4 linked regions of the Drosophila melanogaster genome follow. The protein of the gene in region 1 binds, or shares a complex with, the protein of each later gene. Each region holds a gene or a part of one and is shown on either strand. Other genes may lie near its edges. The genes, in order: Nup188, Nup153, Nup107 and Nup205.

Region 1 (7,769 bases):
TGCACCTTTGCGGCGGAGTAGCGAAATCCCAGTCGCTGTAGTTGCCGGGTGCAGTGCAGCCAAAGAGCAGTCCGTTTTTGTCTGTAAGGGAGTTACTTTTACAAAGATGTCTTTACGGTGGAATAAAAACCTTGCTCACCTGCCCTCTGTAAAGCTACCCTCCATGGGACCGCGTATGTGAATCAATGCCCTGGTGGCCTCTGTGGTCCAAGCACGCTCGTAAGGACCACGTCCCACATTATTGCCTGCCCCTGAGGTATCTGCCTCCTCGAGCAAGCAATCATCATCCAGGTCATCCAAATCATCGTCACTTATTTGATAGGCTATGGAAATAAAAGAAATAAGTTACCTTTAATTATTGTCCTTGTTTTGAATAATATAAAAGCTTACAGATTATAATAATTATATTTGATACCCCTTTATACACTACGAAATTAACTAACGAAATCGAGGTAGTTCTAGCCTTATCTGATTTAGCTTAAGTTCAAAAACTTGTTGCTTTTGGGCAGCAGTGGCATCTCTGGCGCTCTCGCAGCATCCTTTCAGACATTTCTCTCTCTTTGTTATCCTGCTCTCATGCTCGCTCTCCCGTTTAAGTTATCACCCAACGCCAGGCCAAAAAGCATCCTAGCTATGTCAAAGATGCTAGCTGCTGCTGACATACACCTTTATGATACATACATATATACCTACATATATCCTGATACATGACACACACTATGTGCGTAGGTATGCACATATGTCCTTCCACTAGGACTGTGCAGACCAACACTTGTGCACTTTCCGGGCAATCACTCAATTTTCTATTATGATTTCACAATTGCCAATCGGCAGACTTACGTTCATTATCCTCGACATTATTTCCGTTGCTAGGGGCTTGCCCATTTCCTGCGTTGAGCTGAACTTGAGCCATTGCGGCTATCAGACTTTTGAAGTCCAATCTGCCTTTTCTGCCAGAATATGAGCAATTTTAGACCTTTCGCCTGTCAATAGTTTTCTCGTACTAACAGGACAATTTTCGGGCTGCAGCTTCCAGGCGCCGTGAACGTGAACTTCGAGTGCGCCTACTCTCTCGCGCCTTCTCCGCTCCTCTCTCGCTCGCTCTTAGATCTGGAAAAGATGGGAGGCTGCGGCTAGCCGAGGAGTAGTGGTATTAGTTTCCAAGAAATGGGCCTCTAGAATGGCGTGGTTGGGTGGCTGGGCGGTGCAGTGGGCGCCGGAGTGCAGCATCTGCGCACTTTGCACTCTGACTTCGCAGGTCTGTTAGCCGCAGCCACAGCCTCACTGGAATGGCTTTATGTGATTGGAAAGTCTAACCTAAATAGTTCTAGTCCGGCTGGATTGGAAGGCTATTTATGAAATATTTGGGAAATATCAAGATCTGAATGCTAAATGCATGTGTCAAGTTATGATTGAAGGGCCACATGCGAACGTCTATATTTGAAACCTATAAAATAGGTTTCTAAACCTATTCGCGTGAAATATATACCAATTTAACTGTAATGCTACAATAATAGATAAATAATGGGGCGCACACGTGCTTTCCATGTATATTTTATTTGTATAAATCTATAAGCGATCATCAGATCTAAGATGTCATACCTTGATTTAAGTAAGATTTAGTAAGCTAAAGAAAATGTATAAAGTACTGTATCACAATTTTCTAACTGGCTTTTTAAAACAAGAACTATCGTTTTATCGATACACCTTCGGTGTTACCAGCTGATTGTCCCGGCATTTTATTGTGCTAGGTGGCAACTCCAACGCCGCGAATTTGCGCGTGGAACAGAATACATTTGTTATTAAATAATTTTTTATTGTAGTTGTTAAGAGACAGAGCCTAGACAATGCCTGCGGTGGAAAAGAGCGTGATGTGAGTATCGGCAGTGCGACAATATTGAATGACTAAATAAAATCCTTCGATTTGCCATGTAGCACCGATTGGAAGCGCCTGTGGCCGATGGTCTCAGGAATCCACTATGAGACGCCGCAGGATACTGTACGTGAGGAGCTGATGAACGTGGCTTCTGAATTGCAGGCTGGAGTGCTCCAATTTAAGCCCAAGAATGCCTCCAGCCTCGAGCTGGGCACGTTGCTCAAAGAGAAAAAGCAGGAAAAGCTGCTGCCCTTCACCGAACGACTGCAGGATCTGTTGGATCTAGAATCCGCCCAGTGCTGGGAAATCCTTTGCTACTACCTTACGCAGGAGTACCGTGGATCGGCGAGTCTCCTTACCCAACTAATCTCTACCGAAACGAATATGGCCAAACTGCACGAAGACATACGGCATTACTACTCCCTGGAACGCATGGTTGTCCTCAAGATTGTTAAGAATCTTATCGTCTTTCACCAGGTACCGAATCATCCCTATCACCGGGAGTATCGCGCCGTGGTCGAAAAGATAACCATCCCCCGCCTTAGAGATTCATACCTAGACCAACTGGAGAGCCTTATTTGCGAAGTCCCACCCAGAAAGCTAATGGCGGGAGAATGCTTCCACTCTGCGGAACGCTTAGTTGCCTGGTCGGAGCGAAATGCTCGTGAGATCAACGAGGTGCTGCACATCCTTCTGGTGCTAGCGGAACACCTGCCCATGGGGTTGGAGCAGATAAAGAGAATATTTGCCGCCTGCAAGCAACACTCCTTTGGAAAGATGCAAAGTTATCTGGATGACAGCCAACCTTACCATCAGGAGATTATTCGAAGCCTTTCTTACTCAGAGCTAATGTTAGTTTTAAAGTGCCTCGACTTTGAGAAGCCCGAGAAGCATTCCGATCTAATTGAAAAGCTTATAGAGGATCTGCAGGTTGATATTGCCAGCATGTACCACAGACCAGAGCATGGCCCTTTGCTCCTAGCGTGGATGCTGCTTCGCTTGCGAGGCACCAACGATGCCGACGATGCCTCCAGCTTGCTCCGCTGTCGGCAGCTGGGCAAGCGAGCCGTGGATCTTAAGTGTTTTGTCCAACTGCACCTAATTGCCAGACATTCTATGTACGCCGATGACTCTATGCTGTCACGGATTGTGCGAAGAACCATATACAACCAGGTTGGATATCTGTGCGACCTCTTCGACGGCGATGGCAGCTGCGCTCGGTATGAGGGCATTTACGAATTGCTCTGCGAACTTGTCTCATGGCCACACTTAGCTAAAGACTTTTGCAGTCGGGAAGGTCAGTATCATATAATCAAAAGAGCTTAACCGAAAAAATTAGTTTAGAACGAACAACTTTACATTTATCTAGATGATGGTCCGTGTTCGCTGTACAAAACTCTTTTAGAGAACTTCCCTCTAGAATTAACACATCTGTCCAAACTGGCACTGTCACTGACAAAAGCGGGACAAGGCAACTATGTAAGCCAATACTTGTACACTCAAAGGCATCAGTTAAAATTATTTTAACAATCTTGCAGGTCAAGAGCCAACTAGAGGCTTTGCCCATATTGGCTCTTCGTTACGACGAAAGTCAGCACAAACTCAGAGAAGTGGACACAAATGAATTCGAGCTCCTGGCCAGCGTGCAACCATTTCAGCAAATTGATTTTACCATACCCGCAGGAACTAGTTGCACAGCCATCCAACATCCGTCCGGCTGCTTTATGCACTTTCGTTTCCCGGTAAACTACTTTGACGCGCTGCACCACGAAATTAACTGCCTGCTACGCGAGACGGGTCACCTGCATGGTGACTTTGAATCGAGCGAACGCATACGCAATGTAGAAGCTGGTTTAAGATTTTTGGAAAGTGCCGTTAAGCTCAGTCAATCGATATCCGGCATCAGCGCCGAAATGGTGCATCCTACCGAGATGTGCGTTGATCTGCTGCACACGTTCAAAAGCGTTCAATACCCACCGGTTGGACTTTTGTCTAGCTGTCTCAATGTTTGCACTGCGCTGCTGCCGTTGGTAGACGAGGAAATCTTTTCGCGGATAAGCAACCTACACATCTTGCCAACAGTAAGCCCGGGATCTCACTACGACTTCAAGATGTATGCCAATGCCAATGGAGTGGGCTTTGAGTCGCGCTTTTTAGGCTCCGTCATTGATAATGTGGAGAAGAAAAGGGAGCGCTACGAATTCTTGCTTTCATACATTGGGTTCCTGCGAGCGTACTCCAACCTGAAACGGAATCGCCAAATCCAGATGGAGATTCCCGGCCTTATATTCCTGTTAAAGGATGTTTTCCCGCACTTGCACACCTGGCACTTTAGCTCTCAAGTGGAGAGAAACAAGATCTACTTCGAGATTCTTAGCTTTATATGCGACATCCTGGACTTGTTTAACACTGCTAAAGAATCTAATTGCAAGCAACGCGAACTTTTGGTAAAGGTGTGCGTCTATTCCCTTCTAAATTTGGAAAATGGTCTGATTCTTTTGAGGTAAGAGCTACCGTAACTCCAACCAAGAATAAATTTAAATAAAATGTATATTTTAGATTTGTTGGTGTGGGCAATGCTTATGTCCAGTACACCATGGAGCTAGAGACAAATTGGATGCAGCAGCAACCTCACGGCTTAATGATGTTAGTCCGTCTATCCATGCGTATCCTGATGCAGTTACTGCGCCTTAAAGAAGAGGTATATGGAAACAGTGAGACCCTTTCCCCGCTGGAGGCGTTGATATACACACAACCCAAACAGCGTGATACTCTGCGGATCATACCTACAGTATGCAGTTACATGAGCAACATATTTGATAGATGGCTACCGATTCTGTCTTGCCGCCTGCTGAAAAGAATCGCTCTCCAGTTCAATATGTCTCTCTTGGCCTGTCTGGACATGGAGGCTGATCAAATCCGATTGACGTTTATGCAGAAGTTGCCTGATGAGCTAGAAAGTGATTCCATAAAGATAGCCATCCTTGAGCTGGTGGACGCATGCATTGCCAAGCAACCGGGTGTTACCGAGGCATTTTTCAAGGTTAACTATGCCCTTGATAAACGTTCCCGGTCATTTTTCAGTAAGGATTGTGTTCCCAATATTGGCGAGAGTATTGTCACTTATATGAGAGACTTTCTGGACGCCCTTCAAGTGGATCCATTAACCATTCAACAGGCCTTGCCCGCTAAGATCATGACCATCTTCCACTCAATGTGGAAACATAATCTGCAAATGCTAGTGGATGATCTAGTGAAGGATAAACAGTTTTGGAAAAAACTCTGTTCGCCGCTCTTTTCCGAGCTACAGCCAAATTTACGAATCTACACTCAGCTTCTAAATATTATATCCATTGAAGTCTATACGGGAAATGGAAACAATGCCGCTTTGCTTGACGTCATGAATAAGTTCTTTGAACAGAAGAACTTTGGACCTTGGCTTAATTACGTCTTTAACATGCCCAAGGTTCCGGCTGTAAAAAATTTGAGTTCTTCCGACCATTTGCCCGACTGGATCTGTTGCCTGCAGGCTTTTAAGGATCTTATTGTAATTTTGCTAAAGAAACAGCCAAAGTTCGTGACCATACCCGAGTCGCAGTTTAAGCTAATGGCGCAGAAGTGTCTGGTTGTCCTGGTTGATCGCTCAAATTATTTGGAGGACATGCGGCCGTTCATCATACTGGCTGAACTGTATGTATTCATCTTACTGGAATTTAAGCACGCGTACACAGACAGTTTAGAGGAGGAACAGACACTAATGGACCTACTGTTGCAACTGATGAACCGCATCTGTGCGTGCTATGAGGATCAGCACGTAAGGGCCAAAGAGGCATGCCTGGCCATTGTGACCAAGTGCACACATCTATACACAGACCTGCTAATCAGGGACTCGTCCATAGCCTTGCGTTTTCTCAACTCAGTCGTAGGCATCATTTGCAGCGAACTGCAGCACATGGAGAACTCGGTGAGCCTGGAGAAATCGCAGGGCCTCAATAATTCGGACAGTTCAGACAGCAAGACATCCACCAACTCACTTATTCTCTGCCTGAATTTGCTAAAGGCTGTCGCTACCATATTCCACAACGACGGTCCCGGAAACTGGGATCTGCCATTTGTGTCGGTGCGTTTGTTTCAACGGCTCGTGCGCTGTGTGTCTAGAACCCTTCCATTGTTTAGCAAACAAGTTCTAAGTGTGCAGCTGCTGGATGTGCTCATTGTATTTGCCAAGGGCCACTGTTCAGTTGAGTTTCTGCATTGCGATGTGGGAGAATACTTGTGGCTGAAACTGTTGCCTCCCAGAGAACTTTTGCAGTCAAAACACGAGTTTACTAAGACGACGGCTGCGGATGCAGAAGGTTGGACCGTAGAGCAGTGGTGGCCTGTATACGCCAGAGGTATTGAGCTTGTTACCATCATTTACGAGAAGCACAAGAAGTGCTTTCTTGAAGATGCTTTTCAATTTGTGGGCATTCATGCTGTTTTCCTGGAGGATGCATTGTTATTGAGCAAACAATCCTTGGAACCGTCAGCCATGTACTTAATCAAGGCTGCTGTTAACTTAGTCGCCAGTTTGACGGAGCACCACAAAGAGTGGAAGCAAGACAGCGATCTGTCGCTTGCTAACCTAATGGTGGGTTCTGTTTTAGTTGTTCAACTAAATAATATTTTAATCGCTTAACTGAAATCCACAGCGTGCAGTTCAGAGTTTGCTGTGCCACACCTCATCTTTGTTTCACCAGCAAAAAAACTTAAAGTGTCTTCTGGCTGGTCGACGCTCCCAGCTAGAAATTCTGCGCAGCACAGAGGCTCTAATCGTTGACGATGAACTTATCTCCGCCTGCAATGAGTAAGTTAACTTGAATAATGTTGTTATACTAGACTAAATATTTCCATTTTATAACAGCCTCACGGATATAATAATTTCTTGCGTTAAAGCCTTGCTTAGATTTAGTCCGGATTTAATGGAACTACTGTGCTGCAGTGCATATGAGCCCTCCAAACACTCAATCTTACTAGACGTTAAGTTTGGTGCACCTAAGTTGAACGAAGAGAACTTAACGCTCACATTTGGAATCGTCCTCAACTTGGTAAACATATACGTAAAGGCCTTGAATATGGTATGTATATGTGGCATTATAAGTGTGTCCATTCTGTTCTAATTATTTTCAAAACATCAGCAAAATCATGGCTTCAGTGAGGTGCCATTAAACTCACTGCCCAACGTTGAGCATTCCGGGGACAACGATGATCCAGAAGTTTGTGTAGGCAACCAAACCAACCGCACCTTCTCCAAGCCTCTGTCCAATGTCTCGATTTCAACCGGAACCTGTCCAGCCAGTGAGCTGCTCTCCAACATGGACGGCCAGCTTTGTTTGCTTGCATTGGAGCATCTGCTCATGCTGGTCGCTTCGCAAGCCATCTGTATAATTCGCTCACCGAACCTCGAAACGCTCTGGAAGCAAATCGTGCGTCGGGACATCAGCAACGAGTTGTTAATCTTCAACGAGTTCGTGCGCCGCAAGGTGATATTAGACTACAAAGAGAACCGTAGTCCCTGGCTACGACGAAAACACGGGCTCTGTAAGCTGAAGTGCGTGGACCCAGTGAGGAGTTCAAGCAGTTCTTCCCGCAGCTCAGAAATTGTGCGCCGCAGCAACACAAATAACGAACTGCGAGTTAATGTCGTACGCAGACTGCATCTGCAGCAACAGCAGCGAACTCCTCCACCGCAAAACTTTGACATGAGCAGCGATCTGAGTCCCATTGCGGCAGCTCAAGGTGCAGCCATGACGACGAGCTTGGATGGCCGAAAGCGTTTGTATCCCGCTCAACAGGCGGGCGACGCGTTCTTGGAGGACGAACTGGCCGCCATCGAACTGCAATACTTTCCCCC
Region 2 (4,836 bases), on another chromosome or scaffold:
AAAGGCGGGCAGTCGCTCCTGCAGAACCTGAAAGGCCAGCTGCGACTTCTCGCGAACTTGATACAATTGATCCCGCTGGATAAGGGCCTCGTGCTGGGACTCATCGCGTACCAACTCGCGCACTTCCGTCGAGGAATCGCTGCCCTGCAGTCGGAAGTTCAGATCGCCAAACCAGAAGACATAGTCGTGATCGTAGATCTCCCTATACCGCTTGACGTGGTAGTGATGGTTCTCCAGTATCTGCTTGTAGTCCTCGATGCGCTCGTCCATCATATGGTCATGGGCAGTCAGATGGGCCACCACAAAGGCCAGTCCGCAGCCGTAAAGGGTGAACCTGACACTGACGGCGCCCTTGTTGCCCCAAATGCCACCGAAACCGGTCCTCGTGAACTCCGCCTCGATGTCCTGCAAGTGCTCAACGTGCTGCCGCCTCACGAACATGCTGAGCAGCAGCCCCTGCATCTGCTCGGTCTTTACGGCCACATAGTCGTAGTTGCGTAGCAGTTCCTTAGCCTTGTGCGTCCACGGATCCTCCTTGAACAGTCCCAACACCTGTTGCTGCGGCTGGGCATTGACCTCCTGGAGCCCCAACGCATAGATGTCCGGCAAGTGGGCATTAGTCTCCTTCGTGTCCTTATCCACCGTCACATCCTGCAGTCCCAGCAGATGGCGGAGGGATATGTTATCCGGAAATCGACTGCCCACATTCCAGGTGACCACATATACCCGGTAAGTTTCCAGCTGTTGCTTCCCTTTGCCCTTCGATCCGTCCGGCTCCGAGTCCGGAATCTTGGGTGTCTTGCTAGCCTCCGTTTGGCTCATTGTTGCTGGACTTGACAAATCGAAGAGATTAACCCAACTGGCTGCTCACAGCAATCAAGTTGTTTACCCAACCGATTAAGGTTTTATTGTGTAAGTCGATTCTTTATGCCTTTGTGGATTTTGTTGCTCCAATCTGGGTTGCTGGTTAAGTTGGGTGGTGAACAGCGGCGAGGGCGGTCGGTAATTGCTGAAAATATTGCAGCACAAATAGTTTTTAACACTTGTTTGCCCAGCAGCAGCAACAACAACAACTGTGCTACAACAACACGACGAACACAATAACAACAACTAGGGATGGCAAAACTGAGAAGATGACGATATCGACTAGCGGTATTTATTTTCCAGCCCTAAAAATGTAAATTTCTTAGACGTTAAGAGGTAACATATTTGATTCATCTAGTAGTAAATTCAAGTTGTTTTAAAATGGCTTGCTAAAATTGAACCAAAACAATATGGTTTCCCCTATAACCCATTTTTTAAGATTTATTTAACATTTATACTGTATAATTTCTTTGTCATATTTGCACCTTAATAAGGGCTTTTATATTTGGCGCTCATATTATGTTCGTTTATTATATTTGCTTTATTTCTAATGCAGAATCTGTGGTCACTCTAGCACTCGCTGAATTTTAACTCGCTGGAAATTCTTTTTAGGACAACTATCGATTAACATTAGTACAGTATTTAAACTTTTGCATTATCACACAGCCAAGTAAAAACCTAAACAAATACCTCACTCCAACTTAAAGATACAAACGAGAATTCCTTTTAGTCAATGCAAATGCTTAGTATTCAAATGACAACACAAGCAAATGGTTACATATGTTATAAGTCGCACTTGAAGCGGTTCTTGAGTAATAAGCCCGTATGGCAGTTCATCACCAATTAAAAATATTTAATAATTACAGACTTCCAAACCGTAAACGTGCATGTAACCGATAGCTGCAGGCAACGTATCGATTAGCACACGCTGCCCGACACGCCGATAGTATCTGACAAACATCGATTTTGGTTCCAGCTCTACTTTGTGGCCACACACGCGTTTTTTCCCCAATCAAATCGTGCTCTTTTGAAATTCTGTTTCTTGCAAATCGGTGGTGCGTGTTCTCGTGCAACAATGGAAAACCTGAATGCGACCAGCGGCAAATGTTAAATTGCAATTAAAAGTGTGGATTTCGCGGCGGTAAAACGCCAAAATTCGTACCGAATCGCTGCGCGCGTGTGTGTGTGAGCAGAGCGTGAAGAAGAGGAACGAAGAATTGCGAAAGCAGTGTGTGCGGAAGAAGTGGAAGAAGCACAAAGACAAAAGGAAGGTGAAAATATATCAAATATATATCAAATCTATCCGGCAAAAGTAAAACAAATATTGAAGAAAACGGGCGGCATGCTGGAAAGCGGTAAGGGCAAAGCCAAAAGCAAGAACCTCGAGCGCTTCGCCCGAATTCGGTATTCAATCCTTTTTCCCGCCTCTAATTTTGCAGTGCTTGTGCCCAGAATTTGCTCTTCATTGGTGGCCAAGAAGTCAAATCCTGATCAAACGCGACCAGTTTGTGGCGCCAAACAGAATATTATTTAAAAATATCGCGGCGTGTGTAAAACCTCGGCGAAACGCGAACAAAAAAAACCACGACGGCGTGCGTAAGCGCACTCACACCTTTGCACACGCACAGACAGAGAGAGAAGGCAGGATAGAGAGTGAGAACGAAGCGAGTGAGCGAACATTATCCGCACCTACACATACAAACTAGCTCGCAGGAATTGCAACAGTGTGTGCTTTTTTTTTGGTTTTTTTTTTTACTTACGTTTTTTGTTGTGTGTGCGGCAACGCTTCTTTTTCGCGTTTTTTTTGCATCTCTCTTTTGTGCCGTTGCTTCGCCGGCTAAAAAGGTGAGTCTGAATCTAAAGCGGCATAATGGAGGATGCACAGGAGCAAAGGGAATCCTCGCAAGCCGAATTGGCCAAAAAGCATCCGCTGACGCCGCTCAAGGAGCTGCCTGAAGAAAGCGAGGAGGAGGAGGAGGAAGAGGATGAATCCTCGGCGGGAGCCCTACGGGAGTCTGACAGCAACAACGTAAGTACAGTCGACGATAACTTGGTTCCCATCAAATATCCAACTTCCGTGCAATTGCAATTGCAGTCCATCATGGGGAAGATGAAGATGCGCGTGTCCAGCATTCTGCCCGCCTCCTTGAGCGGTTGGTTTTCGCCGTCGTCCAAAGATGGGAACGATGCCTTATCCTCCCCAGCTAATCTCCGCCAGTCACAGCCACGCCAGTCCAATGGACGCCTCACTACCAAGCGGAAACGAGGACGCCGTCGGATAATGCTAGCCGAAGTGGATGCCGATGCAGCCGATGATCTTGATGACGGCTCCGATGCCAAAGGCCTCAACTATGAGGAGGTGGCCCTGGCCGACAACATAGCCGAACACGACCTGGCCGCCGAGGATGAACAGACGCGGCGGAGCGAGTACAATGTGTTCCTGCTGCGCAAGCGAGCCGGGGCTGTTGCAGCTGCCGGCGGTGACGAGGATGAGGCCGAGGAGGATGAACTGGAAGAGGACGACGAGGATGGCGATGAGGAGGATGACGATGAAGAGCAGGAGAATCTCCAACAGTCCGCCGCCGTGCAGACCAAGCGTCGACGCCTGGAGGTAAGATCACATCTTCAATCCTGTCTACATTTCCCAACTAATCTTGAATCCCTTTCAGCTGGAGACCCCCGTCAATTTGCCGAACATGCGTCGTCTGCCCCTTTTGTCATCCACGCCTGCTGCTCCGCTCGCGGCTGCCACCAGCTCCTCCAGCTCCCAGATGTACAAGGGCGTCAGCCACATTGCGCCACATCGGCGCAATCACCTCAATTTGTATGGTAGTCAACGGCAGCGCGAACCCGCGTACAACTTTTTCACGGGCAACGAAGCTGCCGAGGGAAGCACCGGGGATCTGCCACACAGGTATGTTACTGCAGTCATGCTTACTAAAAGTGTTAATATGGAATTCAAAAAGATAACTACCTTAGAGCTCGTTTCAAACAAACTCAAATTTGGGCGTTGCATAGCCAGGCTATTGCCAAGACGAAAAAGAAGAAAACCTTAGTGAAAATTATAAGGCAATCATTTAAATCATTTTAGCATCCGCCGTTCACTGAACATACCTTTCGGAGGCAGCAGCACCGCTACCAGCTACAACAACAGCCTATCCAGCCTTCCTAACCACAAGCGACCATCGCTCATAGGCAAGCAAACCCATCGACGCGATCTTACCATGGATGAGACGGGGACTGGCCCGGCCATGAGTTCGGAAGAACATCTCAATCATTTGCTGAGAATAAGCAGGACCAACAACAATACTAGCAACAATAATAATAATAATAATAACAACAACAATGTCATTGAGACAAAAACAAGACGAAGTGAACTGTCTGCGGCCGCAGGAGGTTGCGGTGATTCGCAGTCCGAGAGCGATATGAACGAATACCACGACAATGGTGAAGGGCACGACGGACTTCGTCCGTCGCATTACAACAGCAACAGCAATTTAGAATTTTACGGAAATCTGCAGAGCTCCAAGTCAATATTTAACAGAAGCAACACCGCCGCACAGCAATCGCATCGGAATTCTACGTGGTCGCTGAATTCCCTTACCCAACGACGTCGCTTCAATGCGTCCATATACGGCAGTACGTCGGCACTGAGCGACAGTCGTCTGCTTAGTGGCAGTGCCTCTAACTCAGGCTCTGCATCTGCCTCTAGCTCGCCCTTTTACCAGGGACGCACCACCTTCGGGGGCAATTCCGGCAACAATCGCCTCTTCAGTCGCAGCAATCTTAGCTCATCCGCCGCATCCTCAATGTTGGGACTCAATTCTGCCGGCAGCTCACCGGCGCATCAGCTGCATGCTTCCATGACTGGTGGTATTGGATACGGTATGAAAGCGGTAGATATGCGACCTTCAGACTCCGGCAGTCTTGCGGAGACATCTGTGGGCCAAGGTGGCAGTAAGAAACCCGGTA
Region 3 (5,145 bases), on another chromosome or scaffold:
GTGATCGTCAGGGGCAGGTGGTGGTAGCTCTGTTTCAGCTGCACGGCCATCTTGCCAAAAGGCTGTGCAAATCAAACAACAAAAATCACAAGGAACACAAGCGACGAGCGTGTGAACATTTTCTCTATAATAAAAATGCGCGTTTGCGGGGAGAAAAATCAATGCCGTACCTTGGGTGAGATTAGATGCGAAGTGCCGTGGATCAGGGGTTCCGTAGACTACTATTATATCACTGGTGTGTGCTGTTGCTCAGGTTCCGTGCTTTTGTGTTTCTCTCAGGGCTCTCGTCCACATTCGTCCACTGCGTTCCATTTTATGCGCCGCCAGCGAAATGCGAATAACTTGCTTCCTGTTTTCGGTGCTCGCTTGTTTTTGAATTTGGCTGCTCGGTTCCGTGGGTCGCCGGAATCGCGTACCGTCCTCCGACCCGTTGTCTGGTTAGCTGCGACTGCCAGGAGCTGCGACTCGAGCGAATGCAGCGCATCGCCCAATCGCAATTCTGCAGAGCCAAAATCGCAATTGCAAGCGTCTTCGCCGTGCGTACAACAAATAAAAGAAAAATGTTTTATGTTGGGCGGCCCTTGCACGATTGGACGGCAGCATATCGTCATGCAAGCGTTTCGTGCACGTCGCCAGCATGATGACCGATAAACCGCGCAGCTTCAAATTCAAACCGCAATCGATTGTTACATCTTTCGAAGGTTTTAAACATTTAATAATATTTAATTTAATTTCGAGTGCCTAAATCTAAGCAAGTTTTATTATTAGTGTTTAATTTCACTTAACAAGTTGCTAAAATTATTGAATTGAGCCCTAACATCTTAAATAATATTAATATTAAATATAAACTGCTCATCTCGTTCCCCTTGGATTTTCTTTCTTGCCAAACTACAGGCTAGTCAGACTAACAAGTTGGAAAATCCAGAAAGCAAGCAACGTGGATCGTTCCTTTTCAAGTAAATACGAAAAAGGCTACCAAAATGGAAATGGATTACTATCTGCCAGTGTATAACGGATCAAATTCGGTGGACGTGCCGGGGCTGATTGAAAGTCTCAAGCTGAAGGAAACCAGTATATCGCCAATCGTGCTGGATCGCTATCCGCCGTACTCCCCGTTCTATGGCGTGATGGGCGTCGTATTCTCCAGTGTGCTGACCTCCGCTGGAGCGGCCTACGGAACTGCTGTTTCCGGAACTGGAATCGCCGCCACAGCGGTGATGCGTCCCGAGCTGGTGATGAAGTCCATCATTCCGGTGGTCATGGCGGGCATCATTGCCATATACGGTCTGGTGGTATCCGTGCTCCTATCTGGGGAACTAGCGCCTGCTCCCAAATACTCGCTGCCCACCGGCTATGTACACCTGGCCGCTGGACTTTCGGTGGGATTTGCTGGACTGGCTGCCGGATATGCAGTGGGTGAAGTCGGCGAAGTGGGCGTGCGGCACATTGCCCTGCAGCCACGCCTCTTTATCGGCATGATCCTGATCCTTATTTTCGCCGAGGTGCTCGGTCTCTACGGCCTGATCATTGGGATTTATTTGTACACGGTCAACATTAAGTAGCAGAATTTGTTATATCTAAAATATTTAATTCGTTAAGAAACGTTTTTATCGATCTTTAATATTTGAAATGCCTTTTGAATTTCTTTACGCGATTGTGGTACTCATTTCAGGTACGCCGTTGCGGTACGCGATGGAGGTACCCCATACTAATGATTCTACGGAATGCTGGTACCTTATTCTTTAGCAGCTTTGCCGAATTACTAGATATGTAAACAATTTAAATCAATTTGTTTCTTACGAAATTTGCTTGAATTCAGTGAGAATCGCTTATTTACAAGTGTATGTGCAAGGGAGCTTTCTTGCTGTTCCGTCATCTGGTAACACTGAACGCTCCCGGCATTTTTAGCGAATAGCGCGTGAATTTCTGTTTTGATTAAATTAATTGAATTGATGTGCCGTAGCTGATAGCCAAGAAACGCATAGTGCAGCCATGGCCGACAGCCCGTTCCCGAGGAGCAGCCGCAGTGGCCTGCTACGCACGACGCTGAACAGCTCGATGCCGCCGCAAAATCTCTCCCACTCGCTGCTCATCCTCGAGAAGAGCAACGCGGAGCAGAATGAGCTCTCGCTGATGGAGGACACCGGCGATGATCTGGATCGGGGCAAGAGCCGCATGGACGTGCTCTTCCCGCAGTTCTTCGACGTGCTGCAGGCTCAGGGTAACGGGCAGGAGGCATTCGAGGTGATCCAATCGCTGACGCAAGTCTGTCGCGGCGTGGTGGAGCAGCTGGAGCTGGAGATCGATCACGGCATGGGTGGGGAACAGGGCGCGCGGCAACGCGAGTCTATGCTCACCTGGCTGCGACAGGAGATAAACACGTGGCGCCTGCTGCACGCCCTCTTCTACGACCGCATCCTGCTGCAGACGGACAGGCAGGCGGATGATGAGATGCAAGATGGCCCCACGCTCGGCGGCAGCGAGAAGGAGGTCATACAGCAGTTGTACGCCCTCAATGCGACGCTGCGTGAGTACCAGCTGGTGGTGGACTGGCTGGAGGCGTGCTACGACCGGGGGGAGCAACAAAACCCACTCCACGCCCACGATCGTATGATGGCGTGGGAGAACACGCTCTTCCAACTGGAGAACCTGCAGGGCGCCGCCTTTGGCAAGGGCCATAAGATCGTAACGCGTCTGGATCCAGATGCTCCCGTACGCGAGAAACGACCGTTGCACGCCCTCGACGAGGAGGACAACCTGCGCCTGTCCCGCGCCATTTTCGAATTGATACGAGCGGGACGCGTCGACGATGGCCTCAAGTTGTGCAAGCACTTCGGACAGACGTGGCGGGCGGCGATCCTTGAGGGCTGGCGTCTCCACGAGGATCCCAACTTCGAGCAGAATGTCTCGGTGCTGCACGAAAAGCTGCCCATCGAGGGCAATCCCAGGAGGGATATCTGGAAGCGCTGCGCGTGGATGCTGGCCGATTCCAAGAACTATGACGAGTACAGCCGCGCGACGGCGGGTGTCTTCTCCGGCCACTTGGGCTCGCTGAAAACCCTTTTGCACAGCAACTGGCACGATTTGCTCTGGGCCCATCTGAAGGTGCAGATCGACATCCGTGTGGAATCGGAGATACGCGGCTGCTGCCTCAAAAACTACCAACCGATGCCCGATGATTACTGGAACGGCAGGATGACGATGGAGCAGATCTTCGAGGAACTGAACGTTGCCAAGGATGCGTCGGTGCGGGATTTCGCCCAAAGTCAACTGGGCATTATCCAGCGTCATTTAATCCTGGATACTTGCGGCGAGCTGATCCAACACATGGTGCGCTGGGTGGAGAAGGATACCTCCCAACAATCGCCCCATCAATTGCGCTTTATGGCCCACATAGTGCTCTTCCTGCGTCAAATCGGCCGTGTGGAGCAGGAGCGACAGGCGGAGAAGATCGTAGCCGCATATGTGGAGGCATTGATTGCCAGGGGCGAACCGCAGCTAATAGCCTACTATACTGCATCGCTTTCGAATCCGCTGCAGGTTCAGCTCTACTCGCGGTTTCTGGAGCAAGTGGAGCAGAAGCGTCCGCGGGAGCTAGCTGTGGATGCCGCCCTGCAGGCGGGCTTGGATGTGGAACAGATCACACGCGTCACCGTGCAGAATATTCGCCTCGCACATCAGCCACTCGGGGAATTCGGTGAGCCGCAGTCCGGCGAGATCTCTGCAATCGATCAGCGCAAGATCTCAGCATTGGAGTGGCTAATCCATTTGCCGGAGCAGCGCGGTGAGTTGCTGTGGCAGGCCAACGCCATGATACGCACCTATCTGGCCAGCAGCAAGGTGGAGTGCATGCGCCAGACCTTCCGCATGGTGCCGGCCGACATAGTGCAGCAACTAGTCAGCTTGTACGGCTCGGTGGACAACATACCACCGCGTGAGGAGTGCTGCCTGAAGGAGTATCTCTGCTACAAGGCGTATCTGTCTGGCGTCGACAGTTTCGTCGAATGGAACCGCCTGCAGCAGAACAGGCCCAAGAAGCCACAGACTTCACACGCAGCTTCCTCGCAGGACAACTTCACGGAGCGCATGGCGAGTGAGCGCAAGGAGCAGGCTCACCGATCGGAAGTCGTGCGCTGGGAGCACAAGGTTAAGGAGCAGGCCAAGCGTAAGTGGATCGCATACCCATTAATGAGATCTTTTGGCATATAACCCGCATTCTTTCCCTGCAGAAACCATCGAACTCCTGTACAATGTGCTCATGTTCCCGGACAAGGGTTGGCTGGTGGATCCGTTCATCGCCAAGCTGCCCGAGAACGCCGTGCAGCTGAGCTGGGATCATCGCCTACTGCAGATGGAGAAATTGCGCTCCATCTGCATTCCTGAGATCGCCCTGTTTCTGAACGAAGTGATGTTCAAGTCGGGAGACTTTGCGGGTTGCGTGCGCCTGGCAGATGAAATATCCAGCGAGAATCGGCAGTTGTACAAAGTCTATACGAAGCACAAGCTGGCAGAGCTTCTGGCCAAGATCGCGGACGCCTCCCTGGAGCTGCTCAACTCGAAACTGGATCCATGGGGCTATCCTATAACAACTTAGCAATCCTAGTACATTTGTGTGTTTTGCGATTACATTCTAACTTTAAACGTTTATTATTTATTCACTGTTCAATTATACAACTAAGGAGGGGGACAAATGGGAGGTAGGTAGGATGGAGGGCTTAGGAGTTGTTGTCCACGGCGGCGGCGGAGGCGTTGTTCTCGTCGCACCCGTTGCTATGCTTTAGTAGGTAGGAGGCCAGGAACTGTATGGGATCCGTGGGCCGTTCGCGAGCCAGGGCCTGCATTCCGTGGAGCAGAACCGGCGCCACCGTCTGGTCGAGGTACTGTCGCGTGGGCATGTTGTTTGTCTCGCTACTGGGCTTCTTGGCCACCGCCGGCTGCTGTTGCTGCTGCGCCACTGGATTTGTGGACTGGCCAACGGCAATGGCTCCGGATGGAGGAGCTCCCGGCGCAGCGGTCGGGTTTGCTTGCGCATTGCTGCTTGCATTTGGCTCCTTGCCAGCTTCTGCCGGCGGATTTGTTGTGGGCGCTGGTGAGATGGGTGCGTCGGTCTTGGCCTCCATGGCAATGTGTTCCTTTTGTTCAGCA
Region 4 (7,716 bases), on another chromosome or scaffold:
CTGCTGCAGGTGGCCGAGGTCCATATACGGCGTGGCCGAGCGCAACATGGCCTCGACCATGTCGATGTGGGCGAACAGAAAGTTAAGCACCTGCACGGCGGCGGAGTTGTTGCGCGGACCCAGCGAGTTGACAATGGCATCGCAGAGGCTCAGCGCCGGCAGGAGGATCGACCGGAAGCGGTCATCGATGGACGGGAGGAAGGTCTGCGGCTCGTTACGATTCAGTTCGCTGGACTTCAGGTCGGGCTGCTGGTCATAGACCTTCATATTCGAAAGCACGCCCAGCGCCTGCTCGGTGAGGAGGAGCCGGGCTCCCACATTGCTGTTCGCCATGCGCGTGAGGAAGGCCATGCGCGACTCGTAGACGTAGAGCGGCCTCAGGTGATCCGGCACGGGCTGCAGAATCCCGCAAAGCGCCGTACTGGACTGATCAAGGCTTTCCAGTATGTGCTTGAGGTAGCCACGCGATGCCACAAAGTCGCATAGCGTGCTCACCGCCTGCAGCTCGGAGATCATGTCCAGGCAGGCCAGCGCCAGCATGCGGCACACATCGTGGCCGGTCACCGCATCGTGGCAGATGGTGTCGATCAGCTTCTCGCCGAACGTGCCAATCACTTCCGCCGCCATGGCCTTCAGCCGCAGGCGATCGTCGCGCCGCTGCTCCTTGTTGTACGTGCGTGCACTCTCCTGGCGCGAAATCAATCTGCAATGAAATAGAATGAAAGCTACAACTGCCTGCTACTGCTGTTGAGAAGGATACACTTACGTCTCCTGGTACTCCAGATGCTCGTCGGTGCGCAGTCGCTTCGCGATCCGCAGGCAATTCAGCAGCGAACTGTACAGATTGATGCGCAGCTTCTGCGACTTCACCTCACTGATCATGATCCACTGGACGAGGTTCTTGAGAATGAATCGCAGATTGCTGCTGTTGCCACCGGAACCGATATCCCGTCCACCTCCACTGCCGCCATCCGAACCAGTTCCGATTGCCCTCTGGCCCAGACACAATGCGTTCACCTGCGAATCGTTGCCGATGGCGTTGCCATTGCCATTGCTGAGCGAATCCTCGGCGGCCAGATCCTCGGGGCTCTGGTCCTCGGCCTGGTAGCAGCAGTAGCGCAAATTGGCAAGCAGCAGCAGCACCGTCTCGCTCACCTGTACGGATATCTCGATGATGGGCTGTATGGGCTGCACCTTGATGAGTACCTTCTCGACGATATCGATGATGTGCTGGCGACGCTGCGTCGCCGGAAGCACGGCATCGGGCATGTTGCTAAAGAGCACCTGCACCAGTTGACCCCATGCTGCCATGAAGGCCAGCGTGGCGCAGCGCTGTGTCCGCACGCGATTTATGTTGACGGCGTGATTGAGCAGCAGCATGATTTCCGTGGAAATGGCCTTCCGCTGGCCGCTGGCAATGATGCTCTGCACCATGTACAGCTCGTCGGTGAGAATGTAGTACAGTTTGCGCACGTTGATCAAGTTGGCCCTGGAATTGGCGCCAGCTTCGGCGGATGCCTCGCAGTCGCGCAGCAGTTGAGTGATCAGATGCCCGTCGAAGAACTCCAGCTGCGGCTGGCTCAACGTGCCCGCCTCCAGGACGAGAATATCTAGCAGTCGGGTGACATGCAGTCCCTGCGATGTCTCCTGCAGCAGCGATGGCTTAAGTGATTTGACCCCAGTGTTTGGAGCTCCGAGAGACGCCGAACCAGCCCCATGTGCCACGGCACTTATCGATCCACCGGCCGGTAGCACATCCATGGCGAGGAAAGACGACGACGGCTGTGAAATCAGGCTGTGGCCCAATTCCATCGACAGGCCATGGGATGAACGCTCCATTCCGTTTCCAATTAGCAAAATGTCGCACATCTGGTTGAAGCGCGTCATCTGGCCATGTTTGGCCGCCAGTTTGACATCGATAGAGACGCAGTTGAGCAGGTGGCCCATGGCGTGCAGCACATGATCCTCGCGATGCTGCCGGAAGGGCAGCGAGCGTAGGTGACGCAGCAGGAAGTCGCTGCACGTTAGCCGGAAGTAGCGCAGTATCGTCTCCGCGGTGCGGCGATTGGCGCAGAGTCCATGGAACAGATGGTAAATGCGCTCCACGATTCTCGCCGTGTGCTCGCAGTACTTATCGCTGTGACGCTGTTTCTGCAATATCAGAGATTGATTTGATTGTTAAAAGTTGGTAAGTTAGTTAGTTAGTTAGTTAGTTAGAATAGATAGTAATGGCCAATGGCTTTCAACTCACATCCATGTACTTTTCCAGCAACAGCACTACGGAGTTCACGCACGAGCTTTGCATCTCGATGGCCAGGTGCTGCCGTCCGTTGGCCATAAATTCGCGCAGCACATCCACGCCGAGCAGGAAGTACACAAAGTTGGGCAACTGCTGGCTAAGATTCATCTCGAACAGCTTGATAATGGCCTCTTTCAGTTGCAGCTCAATGCTAGCCGGTTTGCTCTCCAGCGCGCCATCCCCCGCCTGCAGCTCCAGTTGCGATTCAATAGTTGAATATTCGCGTTCCCCGCTCATCTCTCGCTCATTGTCCAGATCATCGCCGAATCCCAGATACGGAACGTGATTGTTGAGGGCCAGTTGGTCCAACAAATCGTCGTCGTGCTTGCCCACGCACACCTCCATTTCCAGGCACTCGACGAAACCCTGACGAATCTCGAGCTTCTCATTGCTGCCCTGACCGTACATGCTGAGAATCTGGGTGGAGACATTCGGCAGCTGGGTGACCGAAGCCAGAATCTTAATGGCGGCCAGGGCGTGCCGCGGCAGCCAGCTATTATAGGTTACATACTTAATGATATTCAGCACGTGATCGGGCTTGCGACTGCGTGGATTCAGATCCAGGAGCATGCGATTCAGGCCCGACAGCAAAATGGGGCAATTGGCCGCCGAGTGGGCCTCAAAGAAGGCGTTCTGTTTCGCCAATGCGGCTTCCAGGATCAGCAGTGCGTACAATGAGCACTCCTCGAGTAGCTTCTTGCCCTGAAAGCGATTGTAGTTGTCCAGCCGCTCACGCACCTCCTCCACAATGCACAGCAGCAGCTGCAACATTTCGGACTTCAGCTGCAGCTGCATCATAACGTGAAAGCCCGGATAGGGAGGTTCATCGACTGTCTCCAGAAAATCCATTGCGGACGGCCGATAGGTGGCCAGTAGGTAGTAGAGCAGTTTCAGGCACTGGGCGCCAACTTGCCACTTCTCGGAGGGAACCTTGTACGCGCGATTGTAAAACTTGAGCAACACCGAATTTATCATGGACTTTAGATAGCCTTCGTAGGCCGGTGTCCGTTGCCCGGCGCCCAAACTCTTCGGCAGATTGGTGGTCATCAGTGTGTAGAGCAATTGGAGGATGCCGCGCGTCAGGTTATACTGCTCCGAACGGCTCTCGATTTGTTCCATCTCCTCCAACAAACTGCACTGGGCATAGCTTCTAGACACGGGCACAGTGGGTATAATCTGCGAGGCCTCCAGGTGGAACCAGATGACGCGCGCCGTCTCCTTCGATTTGGCCAGGGCAGCCAGCGTGTGCAGAATCTCCGCCTTCAAAAAAAGCGGCGTGGCGCACGCAACCAGGCCCAGGAGCACCTGCGGCGTCTGCCAATTGGGATGGTCACAGATCATGATGCGCGAGACCTCGTCGTGTTCCGCCACCGCCTGTATGATGCCCATTACGGCCACCAGATGCTCCGCCTCTCGCTGCGTAATGGCCTTTGGTGTCGATCGGGTGCGGTAAATGGTCTCGCCGCTCATGCCGATGTTGGTGTTAAAGTCGTTGCGCATCGAACTAGAAGATAGTGATCTTCAGAGAGATCTTCAATACCAGATTTGAGTCACACTTACGTATAGTAGTTGCCCAGGGTGGTGAAGAAGTGATCCCAGCTAACCGCATACTTGCCGCCGGTGGCCATCTGGGGCACCCTAAGCATGTTGAAGGCGCATCGAGCCGAGAAATCGGTCCGTGTAAGTCCGGATATCATCTTGAGGTAGGCCTTGAACAGCGTCTGTGGCAGCAGGTCGCTGGCCAAGCTAATGAACTTGAACAGCGACACCGAGCGCGAGGTGTTCTTGAATGCCGTAGAGCCGTTGGGATCGCCGGGGCCCCAGTACTCGTTGCACAGCCTGATGGTGACGCGCGGATCGCCGTGCATCTTGGCCACGCACAGCATGAGCAGCTCAAAGTTGGAGTCCAAGTTGGGCGGCGGTTCCAGACCCTCGTTTAGGAAGCTGATGATCGTGTGTGACGACTCGTCTGCTCGGCCGCGCAGCTCCGACACCTTGGAGTTCATGAAGTCGATGAAGTCCGTGATGAGCAGATGGACGCGGCGGTAGAAGAACTGCGTGCTGTCAGCACAAATGATGATTAGCTTGCGAATCGGCAATTGACACTTCAGTTGTCAGTACTCACCTATAGACCAGATCCTTCTCGAGCAGCAAGCTGTGGAAGAAGACGAATACCTGCGCTCCCAGTGCCTCGTCGATGAGCATCTCATCGCGATTGATGATCGAGATGGCGGTGGCCTGAAGCTGCAAAGGTGCATGCCGCAGGCTGGCCAGCGTTAGTCCGAAGCTGTAGGCAATGATGGCATTCAGGCGCGGTGCTTGCCAGCTGCTCTGCGCGTACAGCTCCTCCAGGAAGCACTCGGCGAACTCGCGATCGCTGAAGATCGGAAGTCGGGTTGTGTGCTCATTGGGTTCCTCGGTGACCAGCAGCATGGAGGTATCGTACGCATACAGCAGAGCCATCAGCATGATCAGGGTCACGTCGTCCATGTTGCCGCCCGCGTCGTGGTTCTTTCGGTTGGCCAATTGGTGCATCAGCCGAATGGCAATGTGTCGCGGCAGGCCGCGTTGTGCCGACCAATTGAACAGGGCCATTGCCAATGCCTGTTGAATGTCCTCGTATAGGCCGAGCACCTGGTTCTGATGCTTCTTGGAGCCAAACGCGCGGTTTGTGGTCAGCATAGCGCACTGCGAACGTTGGACAACAAATGAATAACAATTTGCGAAGGAAGATATGCAATTTCAGAGAATTTCAGAAACAGGCGCATACAAACCCACCTCCTTGTCGACATCCATCTCCTCGAGCAGCTGCAGCAGGCGTCCCAGTATCCCAGAGCCGTCGACAAGGCTCTCGGCATAGTTAGTGACCAGACCGGTGATCTGCGTGCGTAGAACGATAATCAGGGTCAGTGAATCTCTCTTTCAGCGGCACTGCGATGCCTGCGATGTCGAAATCTCGAAACTTACCTCCTTGGGCAGTTCGGTGTTCCACGAGACGCCGCTAACCACCTGGAACATGTCGCGAAGCGTGCAGCTGATGGCCTTTCGTCCATCGTAGTAGAGCAGCACCGCGACAAGGCCTCTGGACAGGCCGGGATGATGCTTCTGCTGGCGCTGTGCGGTGCACAGCAGCTCCACGGCGAAACCCTCGTCCAGATCGAACATGTCGGACAGAATGACCGCCTCGTCGGCCAGGTCCTGTGACATCTTTGTCTTTCGCGAATGCCCCTGCATCGGGACGCCTTCGTTGAGGGCATTTCGTAGGAGATTGCGGCTCTTCTCGCTTCTCGGCTGCCGACATTTTCAATAATGGATTATCAATAATTAGTTAAATCTACGGATCTGCAAGCGCTTGTTTTGCTATACCCACCGGATTGCGCAGCAAGTTGCTGAAGTTGTGCTTGTACTTCTTGAGGCACTGCTCCAGATCCGAGGTGAAGCCACTGCGATTGGACACCGCGGTCTGAAAAGTGTTGTACAAATGCTTGTACGGCGTCCACATGTCCTCGATTACAGCTGTGGACGCATGGGTGGCATTAGTGATTTGGCGACCCACGCACATCTGCTCGTTGGCCAGGCACTCACCATCCATTTCACTTGGTTTTGCGGTTCGCTCAGTTCACGCAGTTCTTGCTGATTCGCAGTTATTGACTATAAAACGCGGCAAGATTGCTTCGCTTTGCGACAAGGCGCCGGTTACCAGGGCTGGGTGCTGCAAATACTGGAAAACACAGATGTTCACCACCGTACGAACTCACCACGCTCGTACGCGCTTCGGTGCTTGTGCCCGCTAACTGCGGTTGCTGCGCTGGCTAAACGGTTGATTCGAACCAAGTCAATCGGAAAATCGATGCTTATCGAACGATAATCGAGGCGCTGCATCGGTGCGTTGTCGCACCACTAACTAACACAACTTCAGTGCGGCGCGGGCGGGGCGTTTTCGTGAAAATCTACGCACGGACTTTTCGTAGTTACCCGATAGTAGCATCCATTTGTTTTGTTCCGATTCGCGTTTTTTTTTTTTTCTGTTCTCCGCCACTTGATTTGGCCAGCGAACGCACTGCCCAAGTGGTGTCCTGTTCGCATTGTGAGTGAATCACCGATGGCCGCGGGCAGGCTGAACTGCACCATAGTGGGATGCTGGTTCTGGCTGTCGATGCAAGTGGATGTGGAAGTGGATGTAGAAGTGTAAATGCAAATGCAATCGGCGCAGTTCGGCTGCAATAAATGCCAAAAGGGATACTAACTGCCAAAGCCAGTGCAATTGGAAGGAAAATTCAAATTTCATTGGGAATTATTCGAATTGGAATTGAATTTGTAACTGGAGTTGGAGTTCAGAGTACTTGGTACTGGGTGTGCGAGAGCGACAGAGAGGAAGAGAGGCAGTGCAAGTGTGTGGGGGTAGCAGTCACACAGGCACACACGAACATACTCACAACTCCAGTGCATAAAACTCCAAACTGCGTTCGCCTCTCTCTTTTCGTTTCGCTTGCTCTCTCCCCTACGTTCGCCCACGCAACGCCTGGCGAGCGAGAGAGAGAGCGGTATAGAAGAGCAAGGGAGCCAGAGCGAGAGAGCAAGGAAGTGGTTTTTCCACCGAAAATATGGACAAAGGCAAACTGCAGAGTTAGCTGAAAATAAAAAAAAATAAAAAAAAGGAACAAGACACAAACAGTGACTGAAATAGCGGTTAACAGCGCTCCCTTACGGCGAATCGTTGAAATTCAAGACGGAGAGCTATCGCATTTCTTCAATTATGTCTGTTTCGCTTTTCATTCCGCTGCAGTAAGCGATCGCGCGAAGGAGCAGCAATACAGAGAGCGAGATTTGGAGAGAGAGAGAGAGAGATAGAGAGTGCGCTCCCAATTGACGACTCCACTCCACTCCCACACACACTTAACCCCGCCCCCTCGCACCCGTAATTACTATGGATTGTGGTGGTATTGCGGCACATCAGCAACAACAACTACAACAGCAACAACTGCACTTACTCCAGCAACAGCTACAACAACAACACCACCAGCAGCAGCGGCAACAACAACAGCACAGCCTCGAGGAAGCAGCAACAATAACAAATGTAAGTATCTCCCAAGTTTCTCCAAATGTGTGTGTGCGTTTGTGTTGCTCGACCATTTCCTCTGTACTTCATAATTCGCTCCCACACACAAAAAAAAAAGAAGTCATAGGACAGAGTACACAGGAAGAAACTGAACTATACCTTTAAAGTACAGCTTCTTCAAATTATAGTAAGAACGGTGCAAATGGTAGACTCACATATGGTTGGTAATTGTATTAACTATAATTCTCTATTAGTGTTTTTTTTTTCGAGTGTATTCAGTATACTTTACTCCTTGGCTATGAAAATAACCTAGTTATGCAGTGCTAGGTGATCAAAAGACTTCAAATTCGGTACTCCA

The links.
Region 2: Nup188 (region 1) and Nup153 share a complex: the UniProt entries of both Drosophila melanogaster proteins name them as parts of the nuclear pore complex.
Region 3: Nup188 (region 1) and Nup107 share a complex: the UniProt entries of both Drosophila melanogaster proteins name them as parts of the nuclear pore complex.
Region 4: Nup188 (region 1) and Nup205 share a complex: the UniProt entries of both Drosophila melanogaster proteins name them as parts of the nuclear pore complex.

What each region holds. Positions count from the first base shown.
Region 1 is NT_033778.4:12,680,151-12,687,919, reverse strand, and holds the start of Nup188 (nucleoporin 188kDa), read left to right. Parts: upstream 1-1,740; 5' UTR 1,741-1,847; coding exon 1,848-1,873; intron 1,874-1,935; coding exon 1,936-3,173; intron 3,174-3,245; coding exon 3,246-3,355; intron 3,356-3,414; coding exon 3,415-4,379; intron 4,380-4,435; coding exon 4,436-6,506; intron 6,507-6,567; coding exon 6,568-6,722; intron 6,723-6,779; coding exon 6,780-6,993; intron 6,994-7,053; coding exon 7,054-7,769. Other genes in the region: CG13148 (uncharacterized protein), read right to left, coding at 1-81, 140-323, 841-913. UniProt on the Drosophila melanogaster protein: Component of the nuclear pore complex (NPC), a complex required for the trafficking across the nuclear envelope. Required for proper protein transport into the nucleus.
Region 2 is NC_004354.4:16,597,421-16,602,256, forward strand, and holds the start of Nup153 (nucleoporin 153kD), read left to right. Parts: upstream 1-1,820; 5' UTR 1,821-2,219; exon of another isoform or gene 2,220-2,303; 5' UTR 2,304-2,734; coding exon 2,735-2,893; intron 2,894-2,959; coding exon 2,960-3,475; intron 3,476-3,533; coding exon 3,534-3,778; intron 3,779-3,955; coding exon 3,956-4,836. Other genes in the region: CG9784 (uncharacterized protein), read right to left, coding at 1-822. UniProt on the Drosophila melanogaster protein: Component of the nuclear pore complex (NPC), a complex required for the trafficking across the nuclear envelope. Functions as a scaffolding element in the nuclear phase of the NPC.
Region 3 is NT_033779.5:10,732,793-10,737,937, reverse strand, and holds Nup107 (nucleoporin 107kD), read left to right. Parts: upstream 1-1,866; 5' UTR 1,867-1,992; coding exon 1,993-4,165; intron 4,166-4,229; coding exon 4,230-4,594; 3' UTR 4,595-4,645; downstream 4,646-5,145. Other genes in the region: CG12299 (uncharacterized protein), read right to left, coding at 1-50; Vha16-5 (vacuolar H[+] ATPase 16kD subunit 5), read left to right, coding at 981-1,562; Dpy-30L1 (Dpy-30-like 1), read right to left, coding at 4,716-5,120. UniProt on the Drosophila melanogaster protein: Plays a role in nuclear pore complex (NPC) assembly and maintenance. Required for nuclear import of Mad. Mediates the association between the nuclear pore complex and a subset of active chromatin regions adjacent to lamin-associated domains.
Region 4 is NC_004354.4:19,850,523-19,858,238, reverse strand, and holds the start of Nup205 (nucleoporin 205kD), read right to left. Parts: upstream 6,026-7,716; 5' UTR 5,892-6,025; coding exon 5,670-5,891; intron 5,591-5,669; coding exon 5,267-5,590; intron 5,180-5,266; coding exon 5,078-5,179; intron 4,988-5,077; coding exon 4,425-4,987; intron 4,361-4,424; coding exon 3,860-4,360; intron 3,804-3,859; coding exon 2,252-3,803; intron 2,152-2,251; coding exon 767-2,151; intron 704-766; coding exon 1-703. Other genes in the region: pico, read left to right, coding at 7,227-7,376. UniProt on the Drosophila melanogaster protein: Plays a role in the nuclear pore complex (NPC) assembly and maintenance, but with limited role in NPC permeability. Required for specific nuclear import pathways such as Mad import.